Macaca mulatta: one gene and its partners. The main gene of each other region encodes a partner of the protein of the gene in region 4 in a complex. Links are inferred from orthologs where the notes say so. Each region holds a gene or a part of one and is shown on either strand. Other genes may lie near its edges.

Evidence for each region.
Region 1: CACNA1C (region 4) and CACNG1 share a complex: the UniProt entries of both Homo sapiens proteins name them as parts of the calcium channel complex. The link is inferred for Macaca mulatta from reciprocal best matches to the Homo sapiens genes CACNA1C and CACNG1.
Region 2: CACNA1C (region 4) and CACNB3 share a complex: the UniProt entries of both Homo sapiens proteins name them as parts of the calcium channel complex. The link is inferred for Macaca mulatta from reciprocal best matches to the Homo sapiens genes CACNA1C and CACNB3.
Region 3: CACNA1C (region 4) and CACNB1 share a complex: the UniProt entries of both Homo sapiens proteins name them as parts of the calcium channel complex. The link is inferred for Macaca mulatta from reciprocal best matches to the Homo sapiens genes CACNA1C and CACNB1.
Region 5: CACNA1C (region 4) and STAC3 share a complex: the UniProt entries of both Homo sapiens proteins name them as parts of the calcium channel complex. The link is inferred for Macaca mulatta from reciprocal best matches to the Homo sapiens genes CACNA1C and STAC3.
Region 6: CACNA1C (region 4) and CACNB2 share a complex: the UniProt entries of both Homo sapiens proteins name them as parts of the calcium channel complex. The link is inferred for Macaca mulatta from reciprocal best matches to the Homo sapiens genes CACNA1C and CACNB2.
Region 7: the proteins of CACNA1C (region 4) and CACNA2D1 are in contact, whole or in part, in a cryo-EM structure (PDB 8WEA), measured with the Homo sapiens proteins. The link is inferred for Macaca mulatta from reciprocal best matches to the Homo sapiens genes CACNA1C and CACNA2D1. Residues at the interface, in NP_955630.3 of Homo sapiens: Phe147, Pro148, Glu149, Asp150, Asp151, Ser152, Asn153, Ala154, Asn678, Lys1090, Gly1091, Asn1092, Tyr1093, Ile1094, Tyr1096, Gly1099, Val1101, Pro1104, Ile1106, Arg1109, Tyr1156; in NP_001353796.1 of Homo sapiens: Thr170, Asp171, Tyr173, Ile233, Leu235, Gly262, Ser263, Ser265, Lys270, Thr274, Ala327, Lys328, Gly329, Ile330, Glu366, Gln391, His392, Tyr394, Ile416, Gly417.

Annotation. Positions count from the first base shown.
Region 1 is NC_133421.1:76,795,464-76,799,653, reverse strand, and holds the start of CACNG1 (voltage-dependent calcium channel gamma-1 subunit), read right to left. Parts: upstream 2,801-4,190; 5' UTR 2,608-2,800; coding exon 2,379-2,607; intron 1-2,378. UniProt on the Homo sapiens protein: Regulatory subunit of the voltage-gated calcium channel that gives rise to L-type calcium currents in skeletal muscle. Regulates channel inactivation kinetics.
Region 2 is NC_133416.1:55,982,146-55,985,645, forward strand, and holds part of CACNB3 (voltage-dependent L-type calcium channel subunit beta-3), read left to right. Parts: intron 1-1,610; coding exon 1,611-1,733; intron 1,734-1,947; coding exon 1,948-2,070; intron 2,071-2,531; coding exon 2,532-2,647; intron 2,648-2,951; coding exon 2,952-3,016; coding exon of another isoform or gene 3,017-3,045; intron 3,046-3,232; coding exon 3,233-3,252; intron 3,253-3,447; coding exon 3,448-3,500. UniProt on the Homo sapiens protein: Regulatory subunit of the voltage-gated calcium channel that gives rise to L-type calcium currents. Increases CACNA1B peak calcium current and shifts the voltage dependencies of channel activation and inactivation.
Region 3 is NC_133421.1:63,504,483-63,507,982, forward strand, and holds part of CACNB1 (voltage-dependent L-type calcium channel subunit beta-1), read right to left. Parts: intron 3,099-3,500; coding exon 3,003-3,098; intron 2,556-3,002; coding exon 2,370-2,555; coding exon of another isoform or gene 2,265-2,369; exon of another isoform or gene 2,156-2,264; intron 717-2,155; coding exon 252-716; 3' UTR 1-251. UniProt on the Homo sapiens protein: Regulatory subunit of L-type calcium channels. Regulates the activity of L-type calcium channels that contain CACNA1A as pore-forming subunit.
Region 4 is NC_133416.1:2,838,580-2,842,686, reverse strand, and holds the start of CACNA1C (voltage-dependent L-type calcium channel subunit alpha-1C), read right to left. Parts: upstream 2,801-4,107; 5' UTR 2,427-2,800; coding exon 2,288-2,426; intron 1-2,287. UniProt on the Homo sapiens protein: Pore-forming, alpha-1C subunit of the voltage-gated calcium channel that gives rise to L-type calcium currents. Mediates influx of calcium ions into the cytoplasm, and thereby triggers calcium release from the sarcoplasm.
Region 5 is NC_133416.1:64,408,989-64,412,951, forward strand, and holds the start of STAC3 (SH3 and cysteine-rich domain-containing protein 3), read right to left. Parts: upstream 2,801-3,963; 5' UTR 2,605-2,800; intron 1,260-2,604; exon of another isoform or gene 1,259-1,259; coding exon of another isoform or gene 1,193-1,258; intron 932-1,192; coding exon of another isoform or gene 881-931; coding exon 664-880; intron 428-663; coding exon 330-427; intron 1-329. UniProt on the Homo sapiens protein: Required for normal excitation-contraction coupling in skeletal muscle and for normal muscle contraction in response to membrane depolarization. Required for normal Ca(2+) release from the sarcplasmic reticulum, which ultimately leads to muscle contraction.
Region 6 is NC_133414.1:20,104,062-20,106,977, forward strand, and holds part of CACNB2 (voltage-dependent L-type calcium channel subunit beta-2), read left to right. Parts: exon of another isoform or gene 1-105; intron 106-1,949; coding exon 1,950-2,135; intron 2,136-2,916. UniProt on the Homo sapiens protein: Beta subunit of voltage-dependent calcium channels which contributes to the function of the calcium channel by increasing peak calcium current. Plays a role in shifting voltage dependencies of activation and inactivation of the channel.
Region 7 is NC_133408.1:136,992,560-136,996,856, reverse strand, and holds the start of CACNA2D1 (voltage-dependent calcium channel subunit alpha-2/delta-1), read right to left. Parts: upstream 2,801-4,297; 5' UTR 2,304-2,800; coding exon 2,209-2,303; intron 1-2,208. UniProt on the Homo sapiens protein: The alpha-2/delta subunit of voltage-dependent calcium channels regulates calcium current density and activation/inactivation kinetics of the calcium channel. Plays an important role in excitation-contraction coupling.

The DNA of each region.
Region 1 (4,190 bases), on a different chromosome or scaffold from region 4:
TTATGGAGAAGAAGATTTTTGGAAGTTCTTTTTCTCTATCATCTTTTTCGTGATGTCATTCAAAGTTGAAACATGTAAAGCATTTACAACAATATTCGGCACATAGGGTTACGTGTATGTGCCATTATTATTGTTGTTGTTGTTAATAATAAATGAGAGGCCACATATGAACCCGCTTCCTCCCTCCAGACAAGAATGGTCCCAGGGGGCACAAGAAGGGCATATGGGGAAGGAGAAAGATGTCCATTTGCAGAGAAAAGAGAGGGAAAAAGGCAGGAACATATTTTGGAAGATGACTGGGAGAAAGGTAGTGCTCAGTGTCACAAGTGTGGGAAGTATGGTTCATAGCTGGTTAGGCTAAGAAGGCAAAGAGGTAGATCCTGGTCAGGCTCAAGGCCTGTTGGTCCAACAAGCAATGCCTGTTGGTCCCCTGTAATTGGTCTAGTCACCTCTCACCAGCCTGTCTCTTCCTTGTGTGGACTCTGCTCACTGCCCAGTCCTCTGCTCTGACTTTAAAAGGCAGATGGTTCCAAGGACGGGTGAACAGGACTGTAACAGCACGTCCCTATGCGCGGTCCCTGAAGAAGCTGCCCTGCCCTGCCCTGCCCAGGGGAGTTGGCTGGAGGGATTGCCTGTTTATGGGTGTGCTTGGCAGTCGCCAAGGGGCATGGGCATCCGGGCTATGCGATACCCTGCCAGCACATGGCCACACCTGTCACCCTCAGCCCTGGGACTCGGTGTTTCTATAACAGTTGGGCACTTACGAGTCTTCTGGGCGTCCAGTGGGCGTGAATGAGGGAGGGGATCTCTGGAGCAAGCAGCAGGGAAAGAAGAGGGAGCAGAGATATGGGAGGTTGGGGTGTTGGCTCTTTGGTTCACATGCAGACTGCAAGATCTTTGGGGACTCAGCCCTAGTGTCCTTGAAGGACAGGTTTCAAGGAACACCAAAGTCTGGTAAAAGAGGGAATAATCCTGAAAACCAGGTGGGACATCACACTGACATAACCCTGCTCCACTGCCACTGTGGATGGGCGTCTGTAAACCTGGGAAGGGATCTTACATTGCTGAGAGTCAGTCCCATATTTTATAGAGGAAGAAGCAGAGGCTGAGATGATCTTTGTCCTCGCTGGATGGTCATTTGAGGGTAATGGGCAATGGTGACTAGATCCCTGGCCGCCTGGTCTCCACGTAGCACCCTTTCCTCTAAAGTGCTGTATTTGCTAAGAATCCAGAAGCCTCGGCATTTGCAGAATAGAGGCTAGTCATGCAACTACCAGGTACTCCTGAAAAGGAGCTTACCTTCGACATGTGGTTCGGTCACATGGTAGGAAATCGAGGAATACGCTTAAATTACAGGGTGAGGAAATGCTTTGTAACTCTGACAGGGTCTGAGCTAACGGAGGATGCATAATGGACTGACGTCCTGACAAAAGGGCGGGCGGAGGCCAGGCACGGTGGCTCACGCCTGTAATCCTAGCACTTCGGGAGGCCAAGGCAGGTGGATCACCTGAGGTCAGGGGTTCAAGACCAGCCTGGTCAACATGCCAAAACCCCGTCTGTACTGAAAGTATAAAACTTAGATGGGTGTGGCGGCGCATGCCTGTAATCCCAGCTACTGGGGAAGCCAAGGCAGGAGAATCACTTGAGTCCAGGAGGCGGAGGTTGCAGTGAGCCAAGATTGTACCACTGCATTCCAGCCTGGGCGACAGGGCAAAACTCTGTCTCAAAAAAAAAAAAAAAAAAAAAAAAAAAAGGTAGGGGCAGGTGGCTCACCCACAGCCACGTCCTGCTTCACAGGCATTCAACCTGTGCAGCTTCTCCAGGCCCAGGGCCCACAAGGGTCCATGCTTGGATTCATGTGCTGCTATCGCTGCCTTGAAATCCTTGGTAATTTGGAGCAAGGAACCCTGCATTTTCATTTTGCACAGGACCCTGCATATTCCGTCGCCTGTCCTCTCTCCTCCCCTGCCTTGAGGCCAGGGACAAACCTGCCAGCTCCATGGTTTCCCCCAGCCTGAGGACACAGAGCCACCCAGCATGTCTTTGCAGGGAGAGAGTGACCAGATGGAGCCCAGAAGTCCCTGGGCTGGTAGAGCTGCGGTTCCCGTCTTGAGCCTGCCCAGCTCTCTGTTCTGGGCGAAAAGCCCCAGGGTCCAGCCAGACAGAAATAGCTGGGACAAACGCCCTCGTCTTACAACCCAGCCCCAGCCACCAGCACAGCACATGCAATTCAGATCTTCTTCCCTGGGCAGAAAGGGCTGGGCGGCTGCCCTATCTCTAGCCTGAGAAACCTGCCTTCCTTGGCATGGGCAAATTTGTCCGGGGGACGACGGGGAAGGGCGGGAGGTGGGGATCGGGACGGAGGGTGGGTACGTTACCCCCGGGCAGGGTGATGGGCCCGCAGGTCTTGCTGTCGTCCATGGGGATGCGCTTGGTACAAATCCGCCAGAGGCCGAAGTGGGCCGCCTCGCAGGTGGTGTTGTGGTGCTCCATGTGGGGGCTCAGCACAGCCCAGTGGTCGGTTACCACGGCCGTCATGGCCAGCACGATGCCTGCCAGGATGCAGAAGAGGGTCACGCGGACCTTCAGCGTTTTGGTCTGGGACATGGTGGTCGCCGAGGCGTGGGTGCCCTGGGCAGGGTCCGGCGGCTGCGTCTCCTCCGGCAGGTGACAGCCGAGCTGGGGGGTGGCGGTGGTTGTCGAGTTGGGAGTGGCCACTAAGTTTAGTGTGCCTGGCTGAGCCAGAGTGGGCTGGCCCTGGGGCTGAGGGACGCGGGATGTGCTGAGCAGCTGCCCAGACGCGTCAGGGGCCTGAGGAAGGCTGCTATTAATGCCCCTCTCCAGGCGTGGCACCGGGGACGGCTTCTGCTCGGGTTTCAGCGCTGTCTGCCCCTCTGGGAGCCAGAAATACCCCAGTGGGGGGCGGGGCAAGGAGAGAAGGCTCTGGATGGTGGATTGAGGCCTCTATGGAGTAGCAGCTCAGGGTGCCTGAGTTGGGAGGGGGCGAGGGGTGGGCAGCAGGGCCCCAGGGGTGGAGATCTGTCTGCTCTGGGCTGATGGGAAAGGGCACCCCAGGCCAGGGGAGGAGACCAGGAGCTGCAGGCTGCACGGCCGTCCCGGGCTCCCACATTGTAAGCCTACTACCGGCGGGGCAGTGAGTAGGTTCTCATCCTGGGATCTGGGGGGCCTAGGATTCTGTCTAGGGACATCCCAGGGACCCTGTCCGGGGCCTGTGGAGTCCACCTCTCAGGCAAGCGTTTTAGCCACAAACCCCACAGCATCCCGCAAACCACAGGAAGATTTTAGGTGGTTCCCAGGCCTGGCCTTACCCAACTCTGATCCCTCCACGAGAACATTACTTCCTTTTCAATTCTCTTTCCATCCCCAAAACTGGGTCCAGAGCAGAGCTCCGTTCGAGGTCAGTGTCATTACTGCCCGCAAAGTGTCCTCTGAAACAAAGCGAGAACGGCCTGAAGAGGACGAGGAATCCTGCTGGACTTGGTTGTTCTGTTTTCAGGGCACTGTGTTTGGTTTTGCCTTCTACTAACAGCAGGTGATAACGATTTTCCAGTTACGTTTTAATTTGCAAAATATGTGTGTGAGTGAAAAAGAACGAATAGGTTGATTTATAGGGGATCATCAGGAGCTCATGGGTGTGCGGATATGGCAGAGAACACAGAAAGCCTGGGATCGACCACCCTCCGAGGGTCCTGTGCGCCTGCCTGGCCCCCAGGCCTGTCCCCGAGGCTGCGGCCTCTACGTCTCTCCTGGGTTGTGCCATCTCTCCCTTCTCAGCTCACTGGGTGGCCCTTTTTGGGTGTAGCCGAGAGGCTGATGCATGATCAGGAATAGCCTCCTGAGCTGGGTGGGGCCTTGAACTTCAAAATTCTTGCCTCAGATTGACACGATTTACAGAGACTCTGCCCATGTGGACAGAAACATTTCGGCCTCCAGCCTTGGAATCACAGAAAGTTCATGATGATGATAATAGGAGCAGTGGCTCATCTTCAGTGAGTGCTTACTATCTAACAGGCACTCTGCTGAGCCTTCATCCATCATCGCAGTTACTCTTCACACCAAATCCACAAGGGGACTGTGGCTGTTTTTGCCATTTCACAGTAACACAACTGTTACTGCCATTTCACAGACAAGGACATGGACACTCAGAGACGTGAAGTCACTTGTCTAAG
Region 2 (3,500 bases), about 53 Mb from region 4:
ACCCTGTGCCAAGATTATTTCTGGGGTTCAACCCCCACTTTTCCTGCTGCCATCCAGCCTCATTTTGTTCTCAGGAGAGATGAGCAACAGCGGGCAGACTCTACTCTTCTGTAAAACGAAAGAACCTTCCCCCTTGTGCTATCTTCAGGCCTTTGGTGTACTATAGACACTGTCTTTAGCCTAAGACTCGAGAGCCTGGGCTGACCCCCAGCTGAACAGCCCTCTTGCTCAAGGCAGGGTGGGGGTAGAGGGCACAGTGGACAGCAGGTGTGTGATTTTGCCTTCTCCTCTGAGAGTCTGGCCTCTGCTGCCTTCTGTAGGTGGTCGTGCCCAGTGAGCTTGAGAGAATATTCCTCCACCCAAGGACATTCTAAAGCCCCTTCCCCTATACACACACACACTCCTGCATGAACCCCTTATTTAGGCTTATCCCTTCTCTCTGCCACTGGCATCTCAGAATCGTGGGAAGTATCACTTGAGGCTTCTCCCCACAGAGAGGGAATACTGAGGCAGGAAACGAAAGACTCTTTCCGTAGGCAGAGGAGGAAACCCAGACATCCTAACCTCTGGGCTCTTGTCTCGAAGTCCAGCATCCCTTACTCATTTGTGCCTCTCCCTCATGGCCTTGAAGCTGAGCTCTGTGACCCTCAAATGCACCCTCATTGCCTATGACCTTTTCTATGGGCAGGACTCAGAGACTCTCCTTGCTCATGTTACCCACTCCCCACATCCCCAGGGTCCTGCTCCATAGCTGAGTTGCCTGGCACTAGCATAGCCTTCTTCTAGGGCCAGTGTCCCCTGGGCCTGGGAAAGGACTGGGGAGATGTAGGCCAAGTGGTAGGCATGGCCCAGCCTCACCTGCGTCCAGGGAGACAGCTTTGTGTTCTTCTCGGTCTGTGTCTTGTTTGCTGCCTATATCTGGCCAGTTGCCCCAGCAGGTGTGGGAGGAAGAAAAGTAGGGGGTGGGGAGAGCAAAGGGGAGGTAACTTCTAGGAGTTGGCAGCTTTGTGTCCTCCTCTTCACCCTGGAAGGGGAAGGGCTCACCATTTGAGAGCCTTCAGAGCCTTGTTGGAGTAGGGAAAGTAGGATCTTAGGGGGCAGATGGCTGGATCCCCACACTCAGGACTGGTGCTGTGCCAACCAGCGTCTCTTGACTGTTACTGCTGGCTGGACTCCTGCCAGGCATCTTAAAGGGATGATGTCCAGGCTGCTTTGCAGGCTGCTGTGAACAAGAGGGCTGGGTCTCCTGGATCCAGAATCATCTCTAATACATCATCTTCAGCACTCCTCCCTTCCCTCAGCTCAGAGGACATGTTAGAGGGGAGAAAAGGGAGGAAAGAGAGAAGTGAAGGCTCTATTCAAAGCTGTAGTATTAATAGGTTTGGGGGAGGAGGGGCCCAGATCTTTGCACCTATAGATGGGGCCAGGTTTCCTGTAGCCTCAGAGGCACCGGGGCCCTTCTCAGGGGATAGGAGGGGCCATAGGGACCCAGCCACCCCCTTGGAGATGGAGAAACGGGGCAATAGAGGCAACACTGTAAGGTGAGGAGGGTGCCTCCATAGCGTCCTTCACGCCGGAGCCTGGGAGTCACAGCCTGTTTCCCAACCCAGGGTTCAGCTGACTCCTACACCAGCCGCCCATCTCTGGACTCAGACGTCTCCTTGGAGGAGGACCGGGAAAGTGCCCGGCGTGAAGTAGAGAGCCAGGCTCAGCAGCAGCTCGAAAGGGCCAAGGTATACTTTCTGGGCATGGGGCAAGACAGGAGGCCAAACTAGGTGGAAACCTGCACTTGGTCCTAAGTCCCAAGGTTTCCTTGGGCAGGATGTCCTTGAGTGTGAGAGGGTGCATGTGAGGGGCAGAGGCCACGGCCTTCTGCTGTTGGGGCACTGAAGCTGGAAGGGGTGCTCCGAGGCTTCTCTCACTTGCACTAATGGCCAAATTCTCCAGCACAAACCTGTGGCATTTGCGGTGAGGACCAATGTCAGCTACTGTGGCGTACTGGATGAGGAGTGCCCCGTCCAGGGCTCTGGAGTCAACTTTGAGGCCAAAGATTTTCTGCACATTAAAGAGGTGACCGACCCCCGTGCTCTAACACTTCTAAGCCTCTGACACTTCATTTTCTTGCTCTTGCCCCAGATCCCAATGTTTCTTACTTCAGTCCTCAGTCTAATTCCCCAAGCTAATCAGCTCTTCTCCTTAACACCCACCTGTCCACCCCTCATATCTAAGACCTCATCCCCAGGGTCTCCATCCTTCTGAGACCTGGCTTGGGCCTCAGTCTCCATGTCCATCAAGTGAGCAGTTAGATTAGCTGCCTCCGAGGTCCCCTATGACAGCTGCAGTGCCTCACTCAGAAATCCTGGGTGGCCCGAACTTGGCTGCCCTTTCCCCTGGCCCCTTCTGCCCACCGCCCCTTGCATTGCATTCCTTAGACCAGCTCAGTGACTGCCTCGCTGGCTTCTTCACATTGAAGAACCAGGACTTGGGCAGGGCGCTCCTCTCACCACCCTTCCTGCTCCACCCACCCCCAGAAGTACAGCAATGACTGGTGGATCGGGCGGCTAGTGAAAGAGGGCGGGGACATCGCTTTCATCCCCAGCCCCCAGCGCCTGGAGAGCATCCGGCTCAAACAGGAGCAGAAGGCCAGGTGAGAGTTGGGCTGTGACTCAGTAAACACACCCCAAACACTTGAACTGTACCCACAGGACACATCGTCATGCATGCCACACACATGCATATCCCCCTGAAATACACATGCACATATGCCCGGCTCTACACACTCACACTAAACAAATCTACAAACACACACACGAATGCACACATATTGTGTGTACACCTGTCTCACTAGATAAAGCATATGGAAATGTGTACAATTATTAAATAATGCATAGAACATATGTACACAAAGACACATTCTTCTCTACCTCTCTCTCGCCTCCCTTTCTTCTCAGGAGATCCGGGAACCCTTCCAGCCTGAGTGACATTGGCAACCGACGCTCCCCTCCACCATCTCTAGGTAGCCTCCCCTCAACCCACCCATTTTGGGTAGGTGGGTAGCTAAGACACAGGGAAAGGGGGGATTCTGCCCAAGTGAACTGTGTGGGAAGGGGTTTTGTGGAGGGATCAGAAGGGGTGGGGAGAAGCCAGTATCTCCCTGGGGATGGGGATACCGTGCCCCCAGGGACCTTTCCCCCTTCACCAACTTTAATCTTGTATTTCCTTTTCCGAAAAGCCAAGCAGAAGCAAAAGCAGGTAAGTCAAGGAAGGGACCTGGGCTGGGGGGGATCATGGCTTATGGCTCTGGGGACAGTGTTCTAGGCAGTCATTGTTGGAGGGCAGAACAGAGACGGGAGGGAGCCCAGAACCTCTGGATCTGCCTTGACACCAGCCAGGCATGAGACAGGCACTAGGGCCATGGTTTCTACTGACCTCATGTCCATTCTGCAGGCGGAACATGTTCCCCCATATGACGTGGTGCCCTCCATGCGGCCTGTGGTGTT
Region 3 (3,500 bases), on a different chromosome or scaffold from region 4:
GACACTTCAGAAAAGTGGGTATCCCCCATCCATCTGCAACAGGCAGGTAAAAACCGACAGCTGGGGCTTAAGGGCCTCCCGGGAGCTGGGATGATAACGCCGAATAAACCCCAAGCTTTGAGCAAAGGCATCTGAAAGGCGGGAGACAGCGCCCCCTGGAGGCGAATACATGTTGGGTGTGAGCCCCTCGCTCCCTCCCCTCCCCTCCCCTGGGCTCAGAGCCCTTCCTCCCGCCGTGTGGCCCCTGCCTCTCAGCGGATGTAGACGCCTCGTCCCCAGCCCTCCAGCTCGTTCTTGTTGCGCCCCAAAACTGGACCCCCACCCTCAGCGCAGTAGCGGGCCTTATTCCGGCCCCGGTTCCGGTTGTCGGTCAGCTCTTCCTCATAGTCTTCTTCCTCGTCCTCCCAGGATCCCTGTCGGGCTGGGGGGGTGCCACCCCCTGCAGGGTCTCCAAGCCCTGGCCCCTCTGAGGGGTCAGTCTCCATGTCCACACATGAGTCTCCCAGCTCCGTGTAGGCAGAGTTTCGGCTGCCGGGGGTGTCGGCATCAAAAGTGTCTTGGCGGGACAGTGCCCGTAGCGTGCCTGCCCGGCCTGGTGGGTGGCTGCTGGGGTAAAGGCCTGGGGGCTGGCCCAGCTCCCCTGGGTACTCGTGCACGCTGGCGTGCTCCCCGGTGGCCCGTTCCAGCGGCTGGTCCCCAGAAGCAAGGTAGGGTCCCTGGTTAGCAGACGGACAGCACACACCATGCAGATCAGGCAGGGGTGAGAAAAACACAACAAAGCAAGGCAAGTTAGTGACAGCATTAAGAGGTCCGGCCTGGATGAAGAGGGTGCTGGCTCTAGGGGAGGGGCCCCGGGGACAAATGGCTCTGGAGCCCAGCCAGAGGACAGACCTCAGGGCATTTGCTCCTCTCTCCAGACAGGGGGCACCCGACCTTCATGGCCGTCAGCCGTGAGCCATGAGTCACCGCTTCCCCGGTGCAGGTCATTAATGCTATCTTGGGGTTAATCATCATTAACAGCTCAGTATTGCCACTCATTAGTGGTTGATTGGGTTAGTCATTGCCTTTGGTTTTCCAAATATATTAACGAGATTTCAGCTAAAACCTGCTGACCCTGGCTTCTTCGACCCACACCAGACCCCAACCTTAGGCTTCCAGAACCCCATGCTTCTCCCACCATTCCCTAGTCAGATGACACTGTCTCCAAGGCTGATGGGATTCCTCCCCTGCCCCCAACAAGGACTCAAAGCAGCAAGCTGGGGAAGGCTGCTGGGTCTCCCCCTCCTACTGAAGATGAAGAGGTGACCCAGTGTCCTCACCACCAAATGTCACATGGAGGTGGGGCACAAGAGAGGTTCCAGTCCCTCCCCTGCCATGTCAAGCTGTGTGACCCTGAGCAAACAGTTCCCCTCTCTGTGGCTTCATGTCTTGGTTGTAATGTGACGGGAGTTAGACCTGAGCAGCAGTTTCCAAACTGTTACCTAGAGATCTGGGGTGGGGTTGGGTGGGGAGGGCACAGAAGTGCTTCAGGGGTCCCCATGGAGGTGGAGGGGAGGCCATTCCCCTGGCTCCCTCAGGGCAAAGCAAGGATGTATTATCTACATCCTCAGCTTCCACACAAGATTCATTGAACAAATGGGCTCTGTTGCTGAAAACAAATTTGAAAGCTAGTCTAGAATGATTTCATGGGTTTCTTCTGGCTCTTAGAACCTTATACTTAATGGTGTGGAATCAAGAGGTGGGCTGTGGCTCCCATGGGAGGAGGGCAAGGCAGGATGGGTCTCCCATGGGAGGGCCTTTCCGGGACTTTAACTGGGAGAATGGTGGAAAATTCAGCATCAAGTCATAGAAGATGCCACATTCTGGGTCCTTCTTGAGGGGCCGTGTGGAGTCAGGGCTCCAGGGAGGGAGAGTCCAGGTTTAACGTAGGTTTCCCTGGCTCTGAGGGCCTCCGCTCTGTTGGGTCTAAAAAGGGTGTGGAGTCCAGCGAATTAGTTTATCAGTCTTCCTCGCATGTCCTTCCTAGTCCCTTGTCTTAAAAGTGCTCCCATCAGGCCTCATATCCAGCGGGCAGCAGATGCGGTCCTATGGCACCAGGCCCAGGAAGACAGCACCAGAAGCCCCAGACCCATCAAAAACCACAGACACCAGAAACTGCCGCTCATCACGTTTTTTTACAAAATAAAGCTCTTCCCTTCCTCCTCCATGTTCCCTGCACTCCAGTTCCGACCCCAGAGCGGGAGGGAAGACGGGCAGGGTGCCCACTACATGGCATGTTCCTGCTCCTGGGGCACCGCACTGTCCCGCTGCGAGGACTCCAGCCCGCCCCAGAAGCTGAGGTTTCTCCTGAGCGAGGTGAGCACCTGTACCTGGAGGTTGGAGACAGGGGCAGGGCTGGCAGCCAGGGCTGCGGTAGCCATGGTGCGGTTCAGCAGCGGATTGGGTGGCGTGCTGCTGGGCGGATGTGTGGCCTTCCAATAGGCTTCCAAGTACTCTGCCAGGTGCTCGCAGGCATCCTCCAATTGGTTCTCGTCCAGGATGATGTCAAACATTTCCTGTGAAGGTGGGGTTAGGGGGCAGGGCTGGAATGAGTGGGGCGTGGCCAAGGGGGTTGAGGGTGTGGCCTGGGTGCAGTGGGTAGAGTCAAGGGATTGAAGGACAAGGTTAAAAAGAGGCCTCTGGATGTGGAAGAAGGGAAGGAGGGCTCTCAGATCTACAGATTGGCAGAACTGCAAGAAGTTTTGGCACTCAGTCCAACTCCCTCATAGAGATAAGGCAACCAAGGCTGGGAGACAGGGCTTGACTCTCCACGGTGAAGGGTGCTTCTGGGGCTTGAACCCAGTCTTTGACTGACGGACCTGCACTCTTCTCGGAAGACCAGTTTGCACCTACAGGCCTGACCCAGGTGTTCCTGGTCACTCTGTCTCTCATGTAGGCCAGAGGAAACCGGGGCAACCCAAATGTCGTCCCTCCCTTCCCTTCCCCGGGATCTAGGCACTCACAGGTGGGCACTGTGCCAGCTTTTCCGAGGCCGCTATTTGGACGTTGAGGTGTTTGGACTGAGACTTTCCTCGGGACTTGATGAGCCTCTGAAGTACCTGGTTTGGGGAGGGAGAAAAGGAAGAGGAACTAGAGGGACTCAGGCAATGCACCCAGTCAGAGAGGCGGGTCCTGGTTGGATCAGCATGGAGAGCCAGCGTCAGGGCCCTTGAATGCTCCATAACTCTCAGCCCTGGGCACCTCTGCAGAAATGACCTCAGCAGCCCTATGTCTAGGGCTCAGGCTCTCTCCTGGTCTCATGCCAGACTTCCTTAGAGGCTGTATGAAGGGTAGTGATTCTTCTTCCCAACTTCTCTAACCTTGTTTGTAGGCCTGCCCACCCTCCTTTTTTTATTTTTATTTTAGAGACTGGTTCTCACTCTGTCGCCCAGGCTGAAGTGCAGTGGTGTGATCATAGTTCACTATACCCTGGACTCAAGCAAGCCCCCAGCCTAGCCTCC
Region 4 (4,107 bases):
AGTAATAAATTCTCATTTATAGTTGGAGAGTACATATTAATTTAATCCAAATTAGTATAAAGCTTTAATTAAGATAGTTTTGTTTGTTTTTAATGGCATTAACTTTCTAATAACGTTAATTTATTTAGAAAGGGGAAGGTTGTTACTACTGTTTCCCCCAAAATGTTCATGAGTATTAGTCACCCGTAAAATAGAAACTGCTTCTCATCTGCTTTGAACCTTTCATTCTTCCCAGGTCATGGGATCACTGATTTGTGAGGTGCAGTAAAACCATGTCATATGAAGAGAAGCAGACCAAGGGCCAAAGATAACAGTGCTACGTAGACTCTCAGTGGCCAGTGAAGATTTTATTTTACAAGATTGTGTCCGTGTTTGGTCAGTAAAGCTAAGGCGGAAGGTGAATGGAAGAACATTACTTTAAAGGCATTAGAGAACATGCTGGAGGAAAGCATTTTGAGTGCAAACATTCCAAATGGGGAAGAAGTACAGAATCCGCATAGAGCCGGCCAAACACAGCCTGTGTTTCCCATCTATGGATGCCAGCACGCAGGCAGCGTCACTGCTGCTCGAGTGTTTACTGCTGTGAAAACATTGCCACTACCAGAAAGCTTAATTCCCTTCTTCTTTCTTTTCTCTCTTTTTCTCCCCCTCCGTCCCTCCCTTCCTCACTGATCTCCGCCCCCCCTTCATTCCATCCTTCTTTTTTTCCTTTAGAGAGTCCACATGAACTTTGGTTTAAAAAGACTAATTCCAGTCTTTTATAACCAAGCCTAGAACTCAATCCAATATGTAAAAACAAATTTGAATGCTTCATCTATTTCATTTGAAAGGCTAGGAGAAGGGCATATTTTAGGGGAAACAGATTAAACCAAGAAAAATGACTTTGGCTAGCTTGTTTAGCCTTGTTAGACCACAGATTCCTCATTAGGGAAATAGGTTATTGAACTGCATGCTTCTTACCTGACTTCTGGCTCTAAAATTTCATGGTTCTATTTTTCTGTTTTTTTTTAAAATATCTTGAGGTCTTTCAAATGCCTAGTAACTGTGTGTGCATGTGTACTACCATATGCTAGTAAGTAGTCATCATCAGGATGGCCAAATTTATTAAAGCTTGATCTAGATAAATGGTACAGTAAATCAAGAAATACTATATTTGAATGAAATCTCAGAAACAAGTGTTTACACAAATATATGATTAGATGTTCTCCATCCTTACATTGAAAATACTATTCTACTCTTTTGAGAAAGACTTCATGAAAGGAATGGAGTTTGAAGGAATTTTTAAATTTTTGGTTTATCCTTAGATGCCCAGAAGAGGTTTGTGTAATTTAACACTCCCTTGTTTCCATGGCTTTCCAAGTAAAAAGAAGGAACTTAAATGCTTTCCTTGCTGGATACTAAGAAAAACATATTTCCCTATCCTTTTGAGAGGAATTAGTGAAATTATATTAGAAAGAACATTACCAAATCAGATGTCCTGCCTATTTAAATTTTACCCATGTAATTATGTGTTTATCATCCACTTCCTAATTGAATGGATATATATCTTCTTTTAAAAATTTACACAAACATTATCACATGTCCTCATTAGACAATTATAAGCTATCATTCATGATTTGGAGTTGTATGGTATCCGGGTAAAATATAAAACAAATTATAAATATCTTAAAAGAACAGATCGAACAGAAGTATTAGGAACATAAACAAGATGAGGCAAATCCCCAAAGAACATGTAAAATGAACTAATGCACCATGCTAATAAGAATCAAAGGGTTACAAATGAAAATGTGCATTTGAGTGACATTGATACCACCTTTAATGGCCTCTTAACTAGCCTCTTAAAATTTGACCAGCTTTTTATTTTTCCACTGAAGAAATTTAAAAAAGAAAACACCACTATTGAATATAATCAGCTTGCTCTCTGCCTTGTCTTTGTGGACCTACAAAATCCAGACATGAAGTCTAATACGGAAATTTTGATCTCCTTGATCTTTCTGACAGAGTTAAAAGGAAAGTAAAAGATTGGTGTTTTATTATGTAAAGGCAGTATTGCATTTCCTGTTGCCTCAAACATCACTTTTTTTCAATTGAGAATTTCCAAAGAACGGCATAAACCAGGATGGTGCAGTTATAGGCAAAATTTCACAACGGTGTGTGGTAAATCCTGATTAAATATGGAGAGATGAGTTCTTAGAGTGAGGCAGTCACATTCTAAGTATCATTAGAATATTTAGAGTAAATTTCCACATGTTCTTCCTACTCTTTATTTCGCTTTAGGGTTTCTTACCTCCAGGAGAGATGTAGAAATAGTTGAGTTGAGCTTCGTGCACCAAAGTACCCTTAAACTTGACCTCCGTGTCGGCAGACAGGTGGCTGGGAAGCGGCTGGTATGCAGGCGTACCAGGCTGAACAAAGGCTCGAAGCATTGTGAATTTCCAGTTGTATATTAATTGGTTGATTTTTAAAGCTAAATAATTACCCTGCTCATGATCTCTTGTAATTTTTTAAAACCCAGAAGCCATTCCTGCAGTAACATTTCAGTGCCACAAAAGTTTACATGGCCATATCATATCGCTGCAAGTTTAGGTTACAGTAAAATTACTTTTAAATTTTAGAATTCTAAACAAAACAAAACAAAACACCTTCTTGCTTGATTCTTTTCAACCTTGTATTTTCTGTCTTCCCTGCTCTGCTCCCAGCCTATGTAGGGATGGGCCTCTCACCCAGTGGCTTTACGGGAAAACTTGGATTGAAATGTGAACTTCATGGTTTCTGTCAGCCTGTCAGCTCATCACCTCCCTAAGGCATGATGATCTCTGGCTTTTATATATCTCCACAGACTGCTTTGATAGACCCTCTTGTGTGGAAGAGTGATAGGTTTGTCCAGGGGTTGGTAGACCTTAGGGCTAAGAGGCAGGAAACTTCAGTTGGAATGCGAACTTTAATGGAATTCACAGCCTCTTTCCCAGGGGAATGCAGCTCAAGTTGCAAAACTATTTTAGGGAGAAGAAAGTTAGGCCCAGTTCTGCATTTTATCTTGGTGCCACTTTTTGGTAGCCAGAACTCTTGGTTAATGTTTCTTTTTCCTCCTTGGCTATTTAAATTTTCTGTCCAGACTAAAATGGGATCAAAAGAGTTATCTCAAAATGATCTCATTTTAATTTTTAAAGCCATGTTGCTTTGGAGATAAATGATTGGGTCCTAAAGAAGGTCTTCACAGTGTCTTCAATAATTACTGCAAGCTCAGTCTTTCCTTCATTTTGCTTTGACATCTGAAAGATGTTCCATGGCATTTTCCCTCCCTAAGTCTGCATTTCAATTATCTCGTGGTAATGACAATGTCAGACTGTTTTTCTATTTGTATCAACAGTTTTCTTGGCATCCCACCCTTACAAAAGCCTAATTCCTTATGTCAAATGCCACAAATGTATAACATCAAACAAAAGATACCCAAAATATTCCTATTACTAGAGCCTACTCATGAGACAACAATGGCCGGCTTTTCCTCTGCCGTTGGGCCTCGTGTTTCTGAGTTATGCTCTATTTTTCTCCCTTACTGCCACCTTTCTCCTTTGATGGTTTTGGAAAAGTCAGTCTTCAAGGAAAGAAAACTTACACTGTAACCAAAAAAATAGACCAGGCTTCTAGTTTTGTGACTAAGGTTAAAGTCACCAAGACACACAAACATACTCAGATTTATTAAGTGGTTGAACATCAGTGATCCAGTCTGCTTTGACTTCAAGAACGTGAGGGTAGGCAGGTTAGTGTGGGAATCTGTGTAGGGAATCAGAGTAGGGAATTACTGTTGATGGACTGGAAGCAACCTTGAATATGAAGTTTCAAGATACACATTCAGTGATCTTGAGATAAAAGAATTTTGTTTTGATGTAAAACCTCTCATAGCACATGGGCTTCAGAACTCAGATGTTCTTTAAAAAAAAAAAAAAAAAAAAAAAAGTCAGTGTACCAAGGAGGAAAATGTGTATGTATTTTCACCTAAGAGAGTAAAATGGTCCTCTTCAAGGAAAAGCTGGAATCTTTTCCCCTACTTCCCCCCTACTTCACATGCAGGTAGGTAAGATAAGATAAAAGATTTCTGGTACACCG
Region 5 (3,963 bases), about 62 Mb from region 4:
TCCTTTCTTTTTTTTTCGCTCTGTCACCCAGGCTGGAGTGCAGTGGTGCAATCTCAGCTCACTGCAAGCTCCGCCTCCCGGGTTCACGCCATTCTCCTGCCTCAGCCTCCCGAGTAGCTGGGACTACAGGTGCCCGCCACCACGTCCGGCTAATTTTTTGTATTTTTTAGTAGAGACAGGGTTTCACTGTGTTAACCAGGATGGTCTCCATCTCCTGACCTCGTGATCCGCCTGCCTCGGCCTCCCAAAGTGCTGGGATTACAGGTGTGAGCCACTGTGCCCGTCCATGTCACCTCTTTTCTACACCTTGTTCCCCAGAGCCTACTCACGATCTTGCCGAAGCATCTCTGCATTTCCACATAGGACTGACAGTGTTCATGGATGTTGGTTTTGCAGTTCTTACAGCGAAGCCCAAACTTGTTGTTGACTTGGGAGAGGGGGAGAAAATTCAGATAAGATTCCAGATTGCCCTTTCCCTTTGTACCACTGCTGCTACTCTTAGGTTCCCTTTTCTGTCTGGGACCTTACTTGCTCAATCTCTAACAGCATTGCCTTACACCAACTCTAGCCACAGCCCATCTGCTACAAATACTCCTCTTGTATGCCCTCTCCCCAACCTCTGCCTTCAACATCATACTCTCTTCACTCCCCTTTATGACTCACGAACAATCATCCGGGCACAGACATCACAGAACTTTGGCTTCTTGAAGAAATGATCTTTGAATTTGTGGGGCTTATCGTTGACCAGCTTAGGAGGTTCTGGGAGTGGCTCCTCCTCCTCCTCTTCTTCTTCTTCCTCTTCCTCATAAATGTAGTAGATGGGCCCACCCCCAGCTCCCACTGCCTCCCCATTGGCCTGGGGCTCTGGGGGAAGTTCCATTTCCTTTGTCCCTGTAGAACCCTTCCTGAGTAACTGCTTCAGCCGCTGTAGCTGAGGGAGGGAGTGAAGAAAACCCAACGTTAAAAGGACTTGTCACCCTCTCTAGAGTAGGGGGGTGTTAGAGCAAACAGACAGTTTTCTAGTTTTGGGCAAGGAATGTACCCCAGGATTAGGCAGGTATTGGTATTGGGGACTGCAGGTGCTGGCCAGCAAAACATGAGTCACACACAAATGAGATCAATTTAAGCACTCTTCTTCAGCTGTAAAGGTTTCCTGGCCCCCCACACCCAGTGGTCACAGGCCCAGACTCACCCCGCTTTGCCGAGTCTCTGCTGGGAAAGAGGGCTTAGGGGACTCCAGCACCTCCTTTTCTGTCATCCTGCAAGAGGTTGGACCCCACTATGAAATCTAATCCCTTTCACTCTTCTCCCCCTTATTTCTGTCCCTTGCAGTAGGGCGGTACTCAAAGGGAAGGTTTTTGGAGAAACGTGATTAGAGATTTTGTTGTTGTTGAGATGGGGTTTCACTCTGTCACCCAGGTTGGAGTGCAGTGGCATGATCATGGCTCACTGCAGCCTTGACCTCCCAGCCTGAAGCAATCCCCCTACCTCAGCTTCCTGAGTAGCTGGAACACAAGGTGCACACTACCTGGCTACCTTTTTATTTTTTGTAGAGACATGGTCTTGCTTTGTTGCCTAGGCTTACCCGAACTAGCTCAAGCAATCCTCCCGTTTCAACCCCCAAAGTGTTGAGATTCCAGGCGTGAGCCACTGCACTGGGCCAAATACAGATCATTTGGCAGGTTTTATTAACAGATTTCATGGAAGTCTAGGAAAAAGCCCAACATGACCAGGCGCGGTGGTGCATGCCTGTAATCCCAGCACTTTGGGAGGCTGAGGCGGGCAGATCACTAGAGATCAGGAGTTCAAGACTAGCCTGGCCAACATGGTGAAACCCCATCTCTACTAAATATACAAAAATTAGCCGGGCGTGATGGTGGACACCAGTAATTCCATCTACTCAGGAAGCTAAGGAAGGAGAATCGCTTGAACCCAGGAGGTTGCAGTGAGCCAGAATTGTGCCACTGCCCTCCAGCCTGGGTGACAGAGCAAGACTCCATCTCAAAAAAAATAAAAAATAATAAATAAATAAATAAATCCCAACAGACTAAAGAGCTCCCCAATTAGTTCCTCAAACTGATACTCATCCTTCCATCCTGAGGGGAGACCCCATAGTTTACAGCCCTTACAGTGTTCAAGGCTGCATGGTTTATGTTATTTTCCTATAGGTACTTTGTTTCTCTTGGGAATCTGTGGGCAACAGAGATGTGATGCATACCTTCCCAGATCTCCTCTCTTCAAGAGGTTTAATGTGTGTCCTCGTGTGCGCACAAGGAAGGATGGACTGCAGACATTTGTCCTCCCCTACTTCTTTCTTGAGCCCTGGGGGCCCTGTGCCTAGTTCTGTCCCAGCCTGCCTCAGGGCTCAGCTATTTTAAGTTTTCAGGGTAATATGAGCCTTTCCTTCCCTTACTACTTCATTCCCTTTACCCCACCCCCACCCCCCCTCCAATCCTAACTCATCCTAGAGTAGAATAATAATTTTACTCCTAAAACCCAAACGACTCACAGACAAGGAAAGAAATGAAGAAGCTGAATAGATTATAGATCAGGGCAGCTGGCGTGAGCAGTCGTGGAAATCGAGAGGATGAAGAGGTAACTTACGTTTGGGATTCCCTAAATCAGTCCACAGTCTGTAGAGGGAGCTGGGAGCCCCGAGGCCTTGATGGTGGTGCTGGGGAAAAACTGGTCCTCTTCCTTGGGGGCTAAGCCCCCCCAGTACCCTGTGTTCACACCAGCTACCCAGTCGCTATTTGTAGACCTCCTAACCTCCTGCCTTGGTGTCAGGGCTGAAATGACAGGGCTGGAGGAAAGTGAACAGCTGAGAAACACAGCTGACACAGAGAAATTGGACACTGAGAGGTCTGGGGCAGGGCTGGACCCTAACTCCTCCCATCCCTCCAGAGCTGCTGTTCCTTGATTCTTCATCTAAGGTGAACAGGTGAATAATGGCCAAATTCAGCAAGGGACAGTTTCTGTTCATGCTCATATAACATTTAAAGGGAGTTTATTTTTATTTTTCATTTATTTTTTGAGACAGGGTAAAAAAAAAAAAAAAAGACTAATTCGAACGCATAGAGCTCTCCTATCAGCCATACTAGATGGCTTTCTTTTTTTTTTTTTTTTTTGAGACAGAGTCTTGCTCTTGTCACCCAGGCTGGAGTGCAATGAAGTGATCCGGACTCACTGCAACCTCCCAGGTTCAAGCGATTCTCCTGCCTCAGCCTCCTAAGCAGCTGGGATTACAGGCGCCCACCACCATGCCCAGGTAATGTTTGTATTTTTAGTAGAGACGGGGTTTCACCATGTTGGCCAGGTTGGTCTCAAACCCCTGACCTCAGGTGATCTGCCTGCCTCGGCCTTCCAAAGTGCTAGGATTACAGGCGTGGGTCACCGTGCATGGTTAGATTGCTTTTTATCTGTGGGTGGTTGGAGAAGTACTTTGCTATCCTGTAAGAAAGTGAAGAATATGTAGTATTGCTTCATTCCCTCCATCAGCTCCCAGAGACATCTCCCCACCCTCCTTCTTGCAAAATTTTGTCCTCAGGGTGAATGGAATTACCAGGGCTATTAAAAAGGGCCAGTTAACACTAGACAGAAGGATATAGCTGCCACATAAGGAATCTTTTTAATAATTTCTAAGTAATGTCCCCTTCCTCATGAGAACTGCAAACTCTTAAAGGTAGGATGGCCAACCTCACACTTCCTAAACCCTTTTGATTCCCTGATTCCATCTCCCACCTTTGATGCCTCAGTATGTAACTGATGGATCAAAGAGACAGATGCCATTCTGATCTCACAGGGGTTTACCCTTCTCCTACTCTTTGGGCTGTGACATAGATGAAAGAGGAGATACTCCCATCTCAGGGGAGAGCAATTTAGAGGTGGCAATGCAGTGCTGCTTTATTCCTTGTATCTGTAAGAAATAAAGGACTGTGTTGGAGACTGAGTCAGGCAAGCTCC
Region 6 (2,916 bases), on a different chromosome or scaffold from region 4:
TTTTTTTTTTTTTTTGAGACAAGGTCTTGCTCTGTTGCCCATGTTGGGAGTGCAGTGGTATGGTCTCAGCTCACTGCAGCCCTGAACTCCTGGGCTCAAGGGATCCTCTCGCTTCAGCCTTCCAAGCAGCTGAGACTATAGGTATAGGTGCATGCCTCCATGATCGGCTAACTTTTTTTTCCCCCCTATAGAGATCTTTGTCCTTCCCCCCTGCTAAATCTTCCTGTGTTGCCCAGTCTGGTCTAGAACTCCTGGCCTGAAGTGATCCTCCTGCCTTGGCCCTCCAAAGTGCTAGGATTACAGGCATGAGCCACCATGTCTGGCCAGAACTGGCATTATATTTTGAAAAAAACCGTCAAAACACCTGTCACAGAAGAGAATCCTCATCACTTAAAGTGGTATTCATTCCAAAGTAAACTGTCCTCCCTCCTTCCATGATCATGTTCCTTCCATGATCATGTGTTTTGCGCACAAGTAATCCAAATGATGCTTATAGCTTACAAAAAGCTTCAGTACATCCTGCAGTAACTTCACGCTGTTAATATCTAACACAAGATCCTGGTTCCAAAAATTTGGCTTGTATGATGAGTCTATTTGGAGTTGGTATATTATTCATTTCTGATCATAGAGAGCAAGTTGTCTGCTCTTAGTAACTGAGACATATTTTCACATGGTCTTAAATCAATTTCTAAGGAATAAGTTAACTAGATTCTCACTTGTCGTCTATGCTTTACATACAATGCCTTGGGGCTATAGAGCTTTCCTAGGTTTAGTTTTGGAGGCAGGGTCTTGCTCTGTCGCCCAGGCAGGAGTGCAGTGGTGGCCTCTCGGTTCACTGTTGCAACCTCTGCCTCCCGGGCTCAAGTGATCCTCCCACCTCAGCCCTCCAAGTATCTAGGACTACAGGCACACGCCACCATGCCCTGCTAATTTTTGTATTTTTAGTAGAGATGGGACTTTGCCATGTTGCCCAGGCTGATCTTAAACTCCTGACCTCAAGTGATCCGTTCACCTCAGCCTCCCAAAGTGCTGGGATTACAGGCATGAGCCACTGCGCCAGGCTTTTTTTTCAAGCATAGCTATTTCAGGCGCTATGAATATTTGATTGCTTAATGTATGTTAAAATTTATAATAAACACTAAAAAATCTTTTGAAAAATGACTTTTTTTCTTCTCAACTGTGAAGTTTGGACAACGTCAAATTATCAGTGGTTTCGGCTGCTTCTGCCAAATTTCACATCCTAATCTTACCTTATTAATTTCTAAATTCAGATTTCATAATCTTGGGCTGGGCATGGTGGCTCATACCTGTAATACCAGCACTTTGGGAGGCCAAGGCGGGCAAATCACTTGAGGCCAGGAGTTCAACACCAGCCTGGCCAACATGGCAAAACCCCATCTCTACTAAAAATACAAGAATTAGCCAGGCTTGGTGGTAGGCACCTGTAACCCCAGCTACTTGAGAGGCTGAGGCAGGAAAATCGCTTGAACCTGGGAGGCCAGGGTTGCACTGAACCAACATCAGGTCACTGCACTCCAGCCTGGGCAACAGAGTGAGACTCTTGTCTCAAAAAAAAAAACAAAAGAAAGAAAAAAGATTTCATGATCTTGATGTCAAGAATAGGCTTCTATCCTATTCTGTTCAAATATATATACATCTCGTTTGTATCATAGTATCCATGCCTTTTTTCATTGCTGATAGACAACTTTTCTGTGCTGCCATGCCCTTAACAACTGTTACCTTTCTGGCCATTATTAGTTAAGCATTCAGTGCCCTAAACAATGATTTGAGGTAGTCAGACACTTGCTAACTAAATAAAAAAGGAGATAGTAGCAGCGCTTATAGAAGCAGGAGCAAGTACAAAGGGGTGCAGCTCATGAGCCCCTTCCTCCTCTTATGGAGGTGGGAAGGGGCTGCGTCAATGTGGTCTGGAATGTCTGCCTCTGCAGGAGTTGTTCGATGTGATCTTGGATGAGAACCAGCTTGAGGATGCCTGTGAGCACCTTGCCGACTATCTGGAGGCCTACTGGAAGGCCACCCATCCTCCCAGCAGCAGCCTCCCCAACCCTCTCCTTAGCCGTACATTAGCCACTTCAAGTCTGCCTCTTAGCCCCACTCTAGCCTCTAATTCACAGGTAAGGGGAGTTTTTCTATATATCTATATATACAATCTTCATAGGAAAAAAGGTAGCCTATGGTGACACCTCCAGGATCCAAGCCCAGTAGCCTGCTTGGGGCTTGTTCTAGTATATTAACTCAAAGCAAGTCCAGCATGAGCCATGTACCTGTAAGAAAAGCACCATCGACAGAACAAACATAGACTACAGAAACTTTCTACAGTAGAAACTTTCTACTTTAAACAGTAATATAGACTGTGGAAGCGGATCACCTGGATTCAAATCCTGGCTCCACCTCTTACCACTTGTGGGGCAGATAACCTGGGGCAAATTTCTTAACTGTTCTTACCTCAGGAATAATAATGGCAACCTGTCCATGAGGCTGCTGGAATTAGTAATCTCATGAGATGATCTTATAGGGCTGTTGTATTAATGAGTTATTATATACAAACGGTCTAGAACAGTGCCTGTCCCATATTGTATCACTGTATCATATAAGGATTTGCTATTTTTAATATTATCACAGTCAAGCAGAGATAGTTAAGTTTACACCCCTGTATAGAAAAATCTCAGGGACCTGCATCTATATTTGAGCTGCAGGAGAATATATAAAAGAACACTTGCCCTGCCTTTTTTTCTTTTTTTTAAGGAAAAGGTTACCATGCACACTGTTCTAGGCACTTACAAAGTCCAGTTTAATACACTACAAGCCTTATAAATGCCACTGGATGTTACCAAAGGGATGAAGCTAGGTTAGACTTCATTTCGGATGCTTAAAAAGGACTCCACTTGAATGCGC
Region 7 (4,297 bases), on a different chromosome or scaffold from region 4:
AAATGGCACCACATCTTCATGCAAAAAAAATTGCATTTTTTTGTTTCATAAAGTTTATTCAGAAATCTAACATGAAGTACAAATGTCAACCATCAGTTCTTTCCTCAGAAGACAGTGTTACTAACTTTTCAAATGAAAAACTGAAGATGCCGAAGGCTTCCAAAAATATTGCTAAGATTACCTACAGGAGATTGACTTCGCTCCACAAAACCTTTCATTAAGTATTTCATTCATGAAATAATCAATGTCCTATATAATCTGAAAATATCTTGAATTTTCATTGTTAAGAAAATTTCAGATCCCTTCAAAGAAAAGAAATTGTGGTGTCCTACTTCCCATTTTAGCCCACTATTTATACTCTTTCCTGTCTAGTAAATTTCTGATCATGAAAATTGATTTACTTATAATTTTAGGAAAGCATTATTGCAGATGTTCTTACAATAAGGATTTTTACATTAATGTTTTACCATAGTATGTTGAGGAATAAAAGGTTGTATTTTGTTGCAGCTTTCTCCAATGGTATGATGATGTATCCCCTCCCATGACAAAAATATTGATAGATTGTCAGTTAAAAACAACAGTGTAAAAATGAGTAATAGGAACACATTTAGAAAGTGACTGTTTTTTAAAGAGCCACTTCTTTATTTGACACAGAATGCAAGCGACTCACTTGAGTTCTCACTTTACAGGCCAAGCAACAAAAAGGCTTAAAAAATTAAATGGAAGTGTGATGCCTTAACAAGAGTAAATAATTCTGAAGCACCCTTTAGGGTGATTCTTATTCTTTTTATGTTCAAAAATATCCGACTGGAACATCCTGCCAATTAAACGAAGATCTCCAGATGGCATTTACCCTTCTGCTTCATAACAAAAAGGATCTGCAATCAGTTTTATGAAAGATTACCTAAAGAGGAACATTACTGTAAATCAATGACAACAAAAATTTGACACTCCCCTTCTAAGGGATAGAATGTGCATCCTCCAGATTCTTGCACTGACACCTAACGTAATAAATACTTAAAACTGAATCTTAAATAATAGCCGCAGGGTTTCAACCGGTAAAGATTCACTGTTACTTTCCACCAAAAACTGTATTCAGCACTCAGCCAACAAAGGACAGCAAATAATTCCCAGCAGCATAAATACCGGGAAAGCTACCTTGGGCTTTGTTTTTGTTATGTAAAATGCATTAAAGTGACTCATGCACTTAAGATTACCTACCCTTAGAAGCTTTAAAGAAGCTTCAAGAACCAAAATAAATGCTTTCCCAGAAAGCCGGGAAGGCTATTCGGTGCATTAAGAAATATGTATATATTTATATGTGCCACTGAGTTTGATTCTATTTTGCTGCCTAAGAGAGGAGAGAATTATTATTTTTCATTCCCTTCCTGTCGTGTGACTATAGCTACCTATAAGCCCTCTATTTCCAGAACAGCAGCGAGGTTTTTAAAAGTTATTTTAGAAATGTTAAAAATAAAAGAAAATTGCAGGAGACTGGAAACAGTCCCTCCTTCAAAGAACAGGCTCTATTCATTTGAAGAACAGGGACCGCGTGTCTGCCGACACTTAGATGTTTCAAATAATGGGGTTGGGGAGGTTGGATCGCTCGGTCCCAGTACCTGCGAGCCCCCTGCGTGGACAGCACGCTCGGCCGCGGGGAGCCAGCACGCGTCTAACTGGAAGGCTGTCAAGTGCTTCCAGTAATGTGGGATAAAACGAGTTTGGGCACTACAGCAATTAAAGAGCATCTCGGAGGCCAAGTGCGGGAGAAGTCCACGCTACCTCCGCAAGCCTGAAATTACCTATTTGTAAATTACCCAACCAAAACATAACTTTTTATTGAACTGGGTTGAATGAGAACGGGTGAGCTGGCTGGAAACTTTTTTCCCCAGTACAGCTGAACTCTGAAGTCTAGAGAATCCCGTTAGAGACTGGCTGAGACGCCGCAAGTCGTCGGCGGGCGCTTCCCGGGACAGCCGGCCCCCGTGCCCGGCCCCGCGGAGGCGCCCGAGACGCCGGTTCGGGGCGCATTCCAGCGGCGAGCGGCGCGCACCGCCCGCCCGGCCTCTCCGCATCCGAGCCCGGCTCCCCGGCCGCTCGCTCCCCACCCCCACGGGCGGAAAAGCCCCGCGACTCGGGAACCGACCCCCACCCCAGACTCCCGCGGCGCCCCTCGGCCGGCGCTCCCTGCCCGGCCCGCCGACTTACGTGACGGCCGAAGGGAACGGCTCCTCCGACGAGGGGCCGATGAGCAAAGATTGGAAAAGTGTCAGAGTCAAGGCCAGCAGGCAGCCAGCAGCCATCTTCGCGATCGAAGATCAATGCCCCCTCCCTGCCCAAGCGGGGGAAGGAGCGGCGCTGGAAACCGCGGGCGGAGGAAGAGCAGCACACGCCGCCCGGACCGCGGGCGTCTGGAGGGCCGGCAGCGCCCGGGGCCCGAGGCGCGGAGCCGCGCGGAGGACGGCGAGGGCGGGAGCGGGCGACGGAGAAGGGGCGGTGGCGGGCGGACCCACTAGCGCGCGTCGGTTGCTCCGCGCCGCGGCCGCCTTGCCTCCGCCGCCATCAAGGGCGACTTTGGAAACAGACCTCGGCGAGCCCGCAGGCGCTCGCGCGCTCTCGCTCTCCCTCTCGGTTTCCTCCCTGATTTATTCCCCCGATTGCCGAGGCGAAGGCGGAGGCGGGGGCGGGGGCGGAGGAGGGGTGACGGCGCTGGAGGGTGGGGGTGGCTGCAGGAATGGGGGAATGGCAGGCAGAGAGACTTGTGGAAGCGAGAGGCTCCGTCTGGCTTCTCAGGCAAGTCAGAGGGAGGCGGCTGGGGGTGGGCAGCGGGAGGGCTGGGCGTCAGAGCAGTCGGGCGGAGACGGGCCGGGAGCAGCCCTCCATACAAGGCAGCCAGGAACTCCCAAAGTCGGCGCCGGCTCTCTCCCGCCGCCCGGCGTGCGCAGGGGGAGCGGAGCAGCCCCGCGGGGCTCCCGGGGGACGGTCAGCCGCCCAGCGGGCATCCACAGGCTGCAGAGGCTCCAACCCAGGACTTGGCTCGCGTCTTCGGGAGTTATTTTTGCACATGCAGGCAGCGTTCCCCCCAGCCCTACTCCCAGGCGCAGAATCCACTGCCTGCCTAGGAATCGTGAAGTGATTTGACAACAAATGTAGGAGGGGTTTGTATTGCATTTTAAAGCACCACTGTTGACTCTACCAGGTGGCACTATATGCCCGCGTGTGCCATAGGTTATAGCCTCTGGCGGGGCCGGGTGTCCTTTGTGCCAGCGGCCCCACGCCCAGGTACTGCTCGGCTCACCTGGCCAGGACAGAGCCTCGGGCACCGGGCTGTGGACTGACAGAGAAGTACTGACGCTGTAAAATCTTCCAGTCCTGTGGTTCCACTGGACAGAGGGGCGGAGGGACGAATTCTGCATCTAGGGAGGACAGTAGTAAAAGAAGGGCTTTGCAGCATCTCAGTTGGGACTGCCTCCAAAAGGGTCCTAATGCCCTGCTCTGGCCACTGGTCTGCCCGGCCTGACAAAGGTTGCCGAAGGGTGAGCTCACTCTTGTCAATGCGAAGGCATGAAAAGGGTAAGCAGCAGGAACAGGTGGCACTCTGTGAAATGCGCCTGAAATGTAGAGGAGGAATTAAGGGAGGGGGAGAGAGCTAGGGAGTAGCAATGTCGGACTGGTTTTACCTCCAGACTCAGGAGAAGCAGTGGCGGGCTTTCTCCTTGAAAAAACAAGGTCTGCGAATAGGCCTTTCCTGTCCAGCACAAGACTCCTATCCAAAGGGCCCCTGGTGGGCCAAAGGTGGAAATATATCCTTGCACACCTTAAATTCTTAAGCTCCCTCTAGTAGTGTATGAGAATACTTTTGACATGACGTGCAGAGAATACAATTTGTGATGACTATCCTGCATATGCAAAAATTCTGTTAAGTATCGGAGTGACTGTCAGATTTTTAATTAGCCCGTTCTTATTTCTAGGAGAAGCTTCTGAAAGAAAGAGACCCTTATTAATCGGAAATGGATTTTCCAGCTCTCTGAAGGCAATCTCCCAAAACAAAGACTGATAATACTAGTACTACTATTAACTACTGACCAGATTTTAAAAGCGTGTGTGATTTTATGATGCTTAGCATCATGAATTGTTTTTCCTTCCTACTTATCTCTCCTTTTTTAATGCTTTATTTGTTTTCTTTATGTTCTCTGCATCTCTGTCTGGCTCTTTGTTTCTTTCTTTCTACTCTGAGTGGCCTCACAAAAGGCACCCCACCGTGACTTAACTTAGTTTGTTTTATGCTAGGCATGGA